3 linked regions of the Coturnix japonica genome follow. The protein of the gene in region 1 interacts with the protein of each later gene in a pairwise test. Links are inferred from orthologs where the notes say so. Each region holds a gene or a part of one and is shown in the gene's direction. Other genes may lie near its edges.

Region 1 (3,750 bases):
GTACTTGTGACTAGGGCAGAACAAGGAATTGAAGGGCTGGTTATAACCATTCTTATTCTGCCGGTGACTAATTCACAGCTCACCTTACGTGTCCCGTCATTACAGCATAGTGCTCTGACGAGTCCTTTAATGACACGGTGCCGTAACTCCCCAGATAGTATCACAACATGTTGTTATCAGTAAGTTACATCAAAGGCTTAGCATTCAATTAGGACAGGGCGGGCTCTGAAATGAGGCAGTCTGCCGTGTTTAGAGTGCACTGAATTGTTCTGGCTGTTGAAATGAGAACACCCCTGCATTGCAAACCTGCTGACAGGCTGCAAACGAAGCTTTAAGCTTCAGGTCTGCAGCTGCTGTGAACCTCGGGGTGATTTTCTTGTGGAATTCGCATGAAGTCAGTGTCAGATCTCAGAAGTGTCTGAGCTGAGCTGTGCCCACAGCACACGGCGCTATTTGCACTGCGGTATGAGCTGTTTGTACCTCAACAGCAGCGATGCGCAGTGCCCGGCTTGGCGCCTGCTCTGGAAGGTGACGGGCCGCAGCAAGGCGTGCTGCTCAGCTGCTGTCACAAAGTACCTCGAGCATTAGCAGGAGCAGAATAAACAACGGAACATTGTCTCCCACCTTATTATCCAGTTAAAATATTTCTGGTGGAAGAAAAGCTGATTCAGACACGTCAGATGTGAGCCGTTGGTAGCGCAGTTACCCCAGGCCGCACAGCCCGACCCGCTGTCCCGTCGGTCCCGCGCGCGGGTTCAGGCGGGCTCCTCCCGTAGCCCCGCCCCCATGCCCACGGTGCCGGCTGATTGGTTCCGAGCTCCTTCACTCCAGGGGAAGCCCCGCCCCCTCCGCGCGGGTCGTGTGTGCTGATTGGCAGACGCGCCGCTCCGTTCTCGCGCCGCAGCCTGCGCTGGGCCCAGCTCGCCCCGTGCGGTGCGATTGGCGGATCTGGCCGTCAATCTCGGATCCGCCCGGTCCCGACCGGCGGTCCCGCCCCCCGAACACGGGACGCGTTTCGATTGGCGCAGCGGGCTGTCGGTCAGCAGAGCGCCCGCCCCTCTCGGTCAGGTAGCCCGGAAGATGGCGGCGGCGGCGGCGGCGGCCGGAGGGGCCGTGTGAGCGGAGCGGGGACGCCTATGCCGCGTGGGCCGCGCCGCGCAGGCGGGGAGCAGCGGCTGCAGCAGGAGCTCCGCGGAGACGCTGAGAGCCTCGAGCCCCTCATTGGGCGCCGAGCCGCGGCCCGGCGGCGGAGGACATGAGGCGGCGCGGGGGGCTCGTCCCGGCGGGCGGGCGGCGGGGGGGCGGCCCGGCCGGGCTGGCCGTGCTGCTGTCGCTGCTCCTGGGGAGCGGCCGGGCGGCTCCGCTTCCGCTGGCGGCAGCAGGTGAGACACGGGGGGCGGCGCGGGGGCTGCGGGGCGCGGCTGAGGCAGCGCTGTCCTGCCCCGCTACGAGCGGACGCGGCTCCCGAGACCCCGCGTTGCGCTCGTGCCGCGCTGCGACCTGTTGTGCAGCGGCCGCCCGTGTGAGCCGCGCTGATCGCGCCGTGCTTCCCCCGCTCCGATCGATGCGGTGCTCCCGCCGGGGCCGCGGCTCCTGGGGGCGGGCGGCGCTTCCCTCGACGGGAATGCGGTCCCGGCTGCTCGGCCCCGCGTTAGGTAACCGGGCGGCCTTCGAGCCCTTGTCTTCCTGTTTATCTCAAGGCACGCACGGGCGGTGCGTTCTCCCATTCTCACGAATCACTGCGGGGAGGTTTATTTGCTCTGATAGGTAGCAGTCGCCTCAATCATTCACTCATTTTTTTGTGCTTTATTGATACTTCTGAACGTAAAATTGAATTGGGACTGAATTCCGTTGGGCTCGACACAGATATGCGCTGGGGTTGAGTTGTGTCGGTGTAGCTTGGAGCAGCTGGACGGGGCAGGGCAGCAGTGCGAGGGGAGCTGTGAAGCTCAGCGCTTTGGTTGCTGTTCCACAGAAAGTATCAGGGCTGGATGTGGATCCCACCCTTGTTTTGGTTTTGGACCTACATTCTTGCCATTTGTTTCCTTCCCAAGGCAATTTCCATTGTTGATGAGTTATTCCTTCTGTCCGCCTGCCTCGAGGCTGCTCCTTCTAAAAGAAAGTTCTGGGAGAAATGAAGGCCCTGAGGAGCCCTGGGTCACACTTGTATTTTCTTGGAGGCTAAATTCTAGCTTTCTCATTTATGAAATATGTGAGAAATTTCCCAATGATGCTGCCTTGTTGTCAGGCCATGAGGGAGGGCACAGCAGTTCTGGGCAGCAGGCTTTTCCTTCTTGGTGTCTGTTCTTGTCCTGAAGTGTTGTTGGTTTTTCTGTTTGAAGGCAGTGTCAGTGCAGGCACTGAGTGTTCTCAGAGTAACCCATGAAATGAGAATTGCTCTGCTATCAAGACTGCACCACGTATCCTCCAAAGCTCAGAGATGAGGATGTAGCTTCTCTGATGCTGTCACAGACCTGTTGCAGTGGGAAGTCACACTAAGCAAATCGCACTTTTGAAGCAGCCTCTGCTATATTGTCACTTTTTCCCTCCTGTGTCCCATGGAAGTCGCTTTGATTTCCTGTGTTGGGACTGGCAGTCGTTGATGACTTTCAGAATAAATAACAGACCCCGCTCTGAACCTTTGCAGCCCTCTCAGCTCACCAACACACACAACCTCCTGCTTAAGAGTTGTAACGTTAGGAATAATTTCATGGACATTTCATAAACTAGTGATGGGTTTTGGAGTTAATTCATGATCCCCCAGTTGGGCACCTACCAGGATGGGCTGCTTCTCTGATGGTGGAGAAGTATTTTGATGTGCCCAGCCTCGAGTGCTGTGCTGGAAAGATGGTGCTCAGCAGAAAAAGGAGGAAAGGAGATGTTGTGGGAGGTGTTTGTAGTGACCACTGTGGAACAGCTCCTGGAATGTGCCCATGATGAAGAGATTTCTCTTTTGGAGGCAGTTGGGGAGCAGGAAGTGGCAATGGATGGCAGATTCTGGCAAGGCTGGCTTGGATTCCTTGTTCAGAAACGTTCCGTTTTGTGGATCTACTGTGGAATTGCAGCAGTTGGTGTCTGGGGAATCGTCGTGTTCCAAGTGTCTTCATCATGATGCAGCTTGTACTTTTAGGTACGTCTTCACGGTGTTTGCAGATGAAGGTGTGCCCTGATGGCGTGTTCTATATTTGTCTCCCATGTTTGAGGCTGCATTTATGAAGTTGCTAGGAAAAAAATAAAAAGGAAATGGTAGAGGAAGGTTTTTGTCGTTGCCCTGATATGGTTCATAGCAATTACTGTAGAAAATAGGAAAAACAAGATGTTGAAGATGCTACTAGCTAGAAACAGACTGACTTAATTTGTTCAGTCAGTGGGAAAGGGAAGGTACTGGGATGTGCTGTGACTGTTGTGAGTACCAGAGTTCACCTGCTGGAGCTGCAGACAGGTCTAACTGAGACCTGCCTCTGTGGGGCCGCTCGGCCTGACCTGCTCCAGCTTGGAGCAGCTGGTAGAATGAAGTATTCAGCTGTTCTGAGCCTGTGGAGCATTAGGTGCTCTACCTGAGTGCATCAGGCCAAGATGATCGTCCTTTATAGCATAGTGTAGCTGATGTATTTCTATGTGAGAAATGCTCTTTAGCAGTAATTTTTGTGGACAAACATACTGCATCATAATCTGACACTTCTGCTTTGCTGTGCTAAAGCTTTACATTCTAATTCAGACTCTCTCTCTCATTTTGACTTGGATTTTCAT
Region 2 (2,591 bases), on another chromosome or scaffold:
ACTCTGGTGGCTTTTATTGCTGATGGACCTTGTTGAGCTGGAGCTTGTGATGTTTTCCCAGTTTGGGGGTGAAAGTCTAGGACTGGTGCTCCTTGGCTATGACTGTTTCTTCAGCTGCTGACTCTGCTAGAGCTGCGTTTCACTGTACTTTGTCTGGAGGAAATTGCCTGGTGTAATTTGTGTTTCTCTCCAAAGGTTGTGGAAGATGGATACGAGTTCTTTGCAAAAAGACAGTTGGTAACTCTCTTTTCTGCCCCAAATTACTGTGGAGAGTTTGATAACGCAGGTGCCATGATGAGCGTGGATGAAACCTTAATGTGTTCTTTTCAGGTATTGTATCTGACAACTTTACCTCCCAGTTATTGCAGTAACACTTTGTTTCATCTTTTCCATTTATACTGTGCCATCGCACACCTGTAACACCTGCTTCAAATAGATCTCACGTATTGAGTGTAGGCAGAGCTGTGTTTGCCCTTGTGGCTTTAAAAATGTGATAAGCCCTTTCTGGTGTGAGTAGATGAACTGTTTGACCCTGGGATTAAATAGCTGGAGCAAAGCTATCAGCTGTCTTCCTGCTTCCATTGGCATGGGCCCTCTGGTCAGCTGCTCTCTAAGCCCCAACAGAGCTCAGAGCAGAAAACCCATTTATTTCAGAGGCTTATGAGCTGCCCAGATGATCTGCGTAGCTCCTTACACGACCAAATGGGCTGTTGAGTGGAGTGTAGGGCAGCCAGCACTTTGCTTAATGACTGAACTGTCTTTTTCAGATCCTGAAACCCGCGGAGAAGAAAAAGCCCAACGCCAGCAGACCTGTAACGCCTCCCAGGAGTATGATCACAAAGCAAGCCAAGAAATAGTCCACGTGGCACTGCCTGGTTGGGACTTGTATTATAATATATAACCTTCCTTTTTAAACTGTAACGTGTACTGTTCAGCTTGCTCACAATAGAACGTGTTTGTGGTTTCCCTTTTGATTTGATGAATGGCATTTGCTGGTTGTAACAGCAAATGAAGGACTTTTCTCCCTTCTAAGAAAAAGAGTTTTAGGCTTCCCTTTTGTTGGTGTTGGGCTGCACGCTCCGCAGCATCGATCCTGTCATGATGGGTAACCGTACGACTGACTTTCTCAACCTGTACAATTAGTGTAAATGCTTGTTTTCTCCTTTAGGATCTAAAGAGGGCACTGGTGTGCTGTGAGAGTAGAGTTTGTTACTGTTGGAGATGACTTACTGTTTATACAAACCACTGTGAACTTTTTTTTTACGTTCAGATTTGTTTTAAAGGGATTGCTTTTCTTTTTACGTCTTGTCCTGTACACGTTGGTTTTATCGCTGTCAGCGTTAGGAATAGCCTTCAACCTCCCCAGCATCACCGGTATGATGTATATTTAATGGAAACACACACATCCCTGTCCCAAAGTGACACCTAAAGCCATTATTTCAAGTGTTTGTGTCTTTCCTGAAGCCAAAGTCTGCATAGAAAAACTGTACGTATGTGACCCACCGCGCTGAGCTGGCAGGGCTTCCCATTCATGCCTTCCTCGCGGAGAGAAAAGGAAGTCTTGACTTGAAATAGCAGTAGAAATGCTGTGCTGTTTGTTCTATTATGGGAAAATTAAACACTTTTGTACAGTTTGTGGTATCCAATGGACTTGTTACGGTTGCATCAGCCCCGTGGCAGCCGTGTCACACAGCTGGAAGTTACAGGAACGGTTCCACACCTGCCTGAATGGCTTTGTGCATTTTGGCCTAAAGACTTTGCCCTATGGAGACGCCCAGGAAGCAGCTCGCAGAGCCAACCCAGGCACTGCTCAGCGGCTGGTGCAGGTACCTGACGGTATCTTCTTTTTTAAAGACTGAGAACCTTTTTTGAACAGATGACAGTGTACAATACCATGTAGTGAAAATCACTTATTAAACGACCAAGTTGTTAAATCCTCTCGGTGTCGGTTTATCACAACGTTATACACTACTGCTATCACAGGACATGACTTAGATAAATAAATCCTTCTGGAAACCCACACACTTCTGGTTTGATTTGTCTGAGCTGTGTCAGGGCTGTGCCAGGGGCTACAGGCACTCAGTGCTGTCAGGGTATCACTGAGACACCTGCCTTGTTGGCTGCCAGCCCTGCTCTGGCATCCTGCTTATCAGATCAGTTCTGTTCCTTTCCCCTGCAGTGAGCTGGACTTTGATGGGCCCTGCCCAGTGCATCCCAGCTATTGATCATCACACTTCTAAATGCGCTGCTCCGCTAAATGGAAGCGTTTCCCCACTTGGAAGATTTTGCTTTCTAAAACTAATTAATCAGAGTAGCCATGTAACTGTTGATGGCCCCATTAGATGAGGTGCTGGATTGCCTGCAAGAGGGCTTGCTCTCATCTCTTAAATCACACTGTGGTTTTCTTGATGGCTTTCTCATTTTTGGTCCACCATGTAAAACAGTGATGTACATCATTCCTGATCTGGTTAACAGAACATGCAGAGCCGGATCCCACTCGTAGCTAAAGGAATGCATGAACCCATCTGTGCAGCAGCACCCAGTGCCATGTCACACCTTGTTCCTCTGACTCCAGCTCTGCTCTCAGATGT
Region 3 (3,750 bases), on another chromosome or scaffold:
GTGACACAGAGCTCACATGTGGGTGCTTAAGAAGGGGTGGCTATACGTGTCCTGGGCTGCATGACACACGTCACAGGTATGATGCAGTGCTGCCCATCTCTGTTGTGAACACAAACAGTGGAGCGTGGGTGACAAGATAAGTGGTCTCATTTATAGTGAGATCCAGGACACGAGCCTAACCAGGTAATGCAAATGGCAAGAAGGGCATGGCTGGTTACAGACTGAAGTGTGTTTGTTGACACTTGCAGGGCTCATTAGATATAGTATGAGGTGTTTTGAGTGTCCCTTGCCTTTGAGGGTAGAGTGGGCACTCAGCACCAGACAGGACAGGGTGAAGACTGATCCCACTCAAGGGATGCAGAGGTTGGGGGACACTCGGTACATATGCTGCACAGCCGTGGCCCTTGCCCTGCCATGTCGTGAGCTGAAGTGTGTCTGTGGGTTCCCAGAAAATAGCAGTGATGGCAGTGAGCACAGCAGGGTGCACACAAGGGGAGCTCCTGTGGAAGGAACAGAGCGATCTCCAGTTTTGAAGGTTTCCCACAGCAGAATAGAAACCATCTGTGTTATACCCTTCTGTCTTGTAGCCCCCCTTAAGATGCTGAAAGGTCGCCCTCAGGTCTCCCTGGAGCCTTCTCCTCTCCAGGCTGCACAGCCCCAGCTTCTCAGCCTGTCCTCCTCATAAGGAGGTGCTCCATCCCTTGGATCACTGTGGCCCTCCTCTGGCCGCGCTTCAACAGGTCCGTGTCTCTGTTGTACTGAGGGCTCCTCAAAAAAAGACAGACGAAAAAAGCATGAAACATCACTCCTAGCAAACACAACGGGAACCCCCATCGAACAGCAGCTATTGGGGCAGGCCCAGGAGCCCCCAGCACATCCCTCCCGCACGGCAGCGCCGCCTCCAGCCGTGAGGGCTCGGTGTTGTCCGCAGGTGAGGCGGCCCCACGCAGGTGAGCGGCCCAGGGGAGCGGGGCGGCTTCGACCCTCGGCGTCCTGCGGCCTCGTAGGCCATTGACCTCTGCTGTGGCTGCGGAGCAGGCCGGCAGCCGGGCACGGCTTCCCATCCACCTCCTCCTCCTCCTCCTCCTCCCCCGCCGCCGAGCTCCCGCCCCCGGCCGGCCCCTGTGGCGCTGACGTGCGGGCGGGTGGCCGGGCCGGACCAGGCTGCGGGGGGCGGCGCAGAGCGGCGCGGCGGTGGCAGCGGGGAGCGGAGCGGCGGCCACAGCAGCAGGTAACGCCGCGGAGCCGGGGCCGTGCTGCAGGCCGGGATCCACTGCCCTGCTCGGCGGCGGGTGGAGGCGGCGGAGGGGCCTCTCCTCGCCGGAGCGTCCCGGGCGGCCACGGGGCAGGTGCGGGCGGCTCCCGCGGGGCCCGGCAGCGGGGCTTCGGGTGGGGGTGTGTGCGAGAGGGGCTGGCGGAGTTTTGCGGCAGCAAAGGTGGGCAGAGCGCGGAGCGGGAGTTGGCGGAGCCGGGAGTGGCCGGGCGAGGCCGCCGTGCGGTACCGGGAGCCGGGCACGGCCTGTCCCGGGGAATGCGCGGAGGTGCCGGCAGCCCCGCGGGGGGCGGCGGCTCGGGCGGTTCCCCGGCTCGGCCGAGCGGAGCCGGAGTCTGACGGGCGCCTTCCTGAGCGCTCCCCGTAGGAGGAATTCATCCCAGAGCTGCCTTATCAGGTGCTGCTGGGGCTAAAGTGCTTTCTCCTTACTTCCTTAACTGAAAAGTTATTAAACATCCCTCCTCCCTCCCGCCGCCGTCCTAAGTGTAGCTCTGTATAATGCCGTGCATTCCAGCTAACGCTGAGTTTTATCCACACTCCCTTCAAAAGCAATTCTGTGCTCCTGGGATTGTCCCCGTAAAGGAAAGAAACTCTTTGCGGTCTTGTCTGGACAAAACTGGGCATGGTGTGAACTGCAGTGAAGTGCATCTCCTCTCTTCTGCCCGAGTGCTGTGGCAGGCTGCCTATGGAAAGCAGTGTGTGCCTATGGCTGATACGCTACAGAAACCCATCTCTGACTTCTTCTATTTACATCTGTTACTAAATAGGAAGAATTAAAAGTGTCTTCTTTGTTAGCTGTCACTTGAAGACGGCTCACAGTGTTACTGTAGGTACTGCTGATGCTTGCCTGATACTGGGCAATCACATTCCTGGCTAATAAATCCTGATGCTACCAGATACCTATAAAATTGAAATACCTGAATTAAAAGCTTATAGATTACAAGAATGCGTGGTTGTTACCTATTATTTCATTTAAACATTGCTGCTTGTCAGCCCTTTTCTACAGCATGTCATGCCTCCAGCCTTGGTATCCCACTGTATTCCTGAAGGAAATCAAGCCATGGAGCCATCCCGTAGCTTGCTGGCACTGCAGGCTCAGCATGGCCTATGGACTGGGTGAGCAGGTGCTGGGGGACAAAGGTTGGCCACTGTGTTCAACCTTCCTTTATTCCAAGTGTGGCATATTAACCAAGGGCAGGGATGGACTCCTGAGTTAACATTAACCTGCAGCCTTTCTTCTGCTGTCTTCTCAAGACAAAATACAATGCTAGGGTAAAGGCTGAGGGACAATAGAAGCGATTAAATGATAAAACTTGTGGAAATGTATAAGCATAAGCAAATGCCACCTTATGATGCTTGCTCAAGTGCCATAAAGCTGTACTAATGTGCAGGTTAGATTTGAAGTATATGTTTTATAAAGTAACTGCAAGGAATAAAAGTGTAAGAGTTTATTGCTGGGGTGGGATGGTAAACATCAGAATTGTTGGAGCACTGGTTAGTAAATACAACATAGGAGAGGTTTCAAAAGTAGAAGTTAGGATTTAGTTTGCCTATATTTTTAGTGGCTGTGCTTTTAATTTGTGTAAGTTACTAAATGATTCTGTGGCAATACAGTTGTGTCCCTCTGAAGCTATAAAGCCCGCAGAGTGAATGTAAAGGTAGAGAAGTTTGCTGCAAGGCTCACTGACATCATGAAGTAAGAAGCGCTTCAGTAGTAGCTTGTAGAAACTGCAAATTGAGCTTGTTTCCCTCACCTTGTATTTCTAGTTGGGTGGGTGTCTGAGTGTAACCTGTCCTGAACTCTGAGTCTGGGATTGCTACCTGCTGGTATTTGATGGACACAGTAACCATAATGATCCTGTGGATGTGCCATCGGTGTTTGGACACAGTAACCATAAAGGTCCCATAAGGAAAGTCAACTCCTGGCTCCCCACGCCTGTTCTGCAAAGGCAGCCTTGTGACTCCCTCTAACCTTCATGCTCTCTTGGTGTTTAATAATGCTGATCTGAGAAAGACCTTGAAATGTTTTGGCAGAGGAATTACAGTGTATGGTGATGTGAGCGATGTGGCCAAGGTGAGAAGGGAATAATTCTTTACTGTCGCTTTCAGTACGAAATGCCAAAGCAGGAGATTAAGCTGGCAGGTTCAAAGCAAACAAAAGGGTGTTTTTTACTTACCCAATGTGTAGCTACTTAAGCTTTGGAAATCCTTTCTGAAGCATGTGGATACCGAAAGCTCAAAGGGACAAAAAAAGCAACCGGATGAATTCATGGAAGAAAACTCCCCTGAGGCCCATCCTGTAAAGCTGCTGTGGCTCAGGGGTTGGCCACAGGTGGAGCTGGGATGGGATGCAGGCACAGCACTGTCATGTGTTTACCAAGCTTTTGTATTCATTCTAGGTGTGCAGGGCTGCGTGCAGTGCTACAGGCAGCAGCCAGGAGCAGCAGATCTGCTCTTTGACCCAGAACAGGTGATTT

The links.
Region 2: the proteins of LMTK2 (region 1) and PPP1CC interact in binary tests that used the Homo sapiens proteins (3 or more experiments, as listed by UniProt). The link is inferred for Coturnix japonica from reciprocal best matches to the Homo sapiens genes LMTK2 and PPP1CC.
Region 3: the proteins of LMTK2 (region 1) and MYO6 interact in a two-hybrid assay, tested with the Homo sapiens proteins (2 studies listed by BioGRID). The link is inferred for Coturnix japonica from reciprocal best matches to the Homo sapiens genes LMTK2 and MYO6.

What each region holds. Positions count from the first base shown.
Region 1 is NC_029529.1:1,153,494-1,157,243, forward strand, and holds the start of LMTK2 (serine/threonine-protein kinase LMTK2), read left to right. Parts: upstream 1-1,068; 5' UTR 1,069-1,255; coding exon 1,256-1,382; intron 1,383-3,750. UniProt on the Homo sapiens protein: Phosphorylates PPP1C, phosphorylase b and CFTR.
Region 2 is NC_029530.1:5,178,914-5,181,504, reverse strand, and holds the end of PPP1CC (serine/threonine-protein phosphatase PP1-gamma catalytic subunit), read left to right. Parts: intron 1-195; coding exon 196-330; intron 331-767; coding exon 768-857; 3' UTR 858-2,020; downstream 2,021-2,591. UniProt on the Homo sapiens protein: Protein phosphatase that associates with over 200 regulatory proteins to form highly specific holoenzymes which dephosphorylate hundreds of biological targets.
Region 3 is NC_029518.1:73,466,889-73,470,638, reverse strand, and holds the start of MYO6 (unconventional myosin-VI), read left to right. Parts: upstream 1-1,160; 5' UTR 1,161-1,231; exon of another isoform or gene 1,232-1,349; intron 1,350-3,750. UniProt on the Homo sapiens protein: Myosins are actin-based motor molecules with ATPase activity. Unconventional myosins serve in intracellular movements. Myosin 6 is a reverse-direction motor protein that moves towards the minus-end of actin filaments.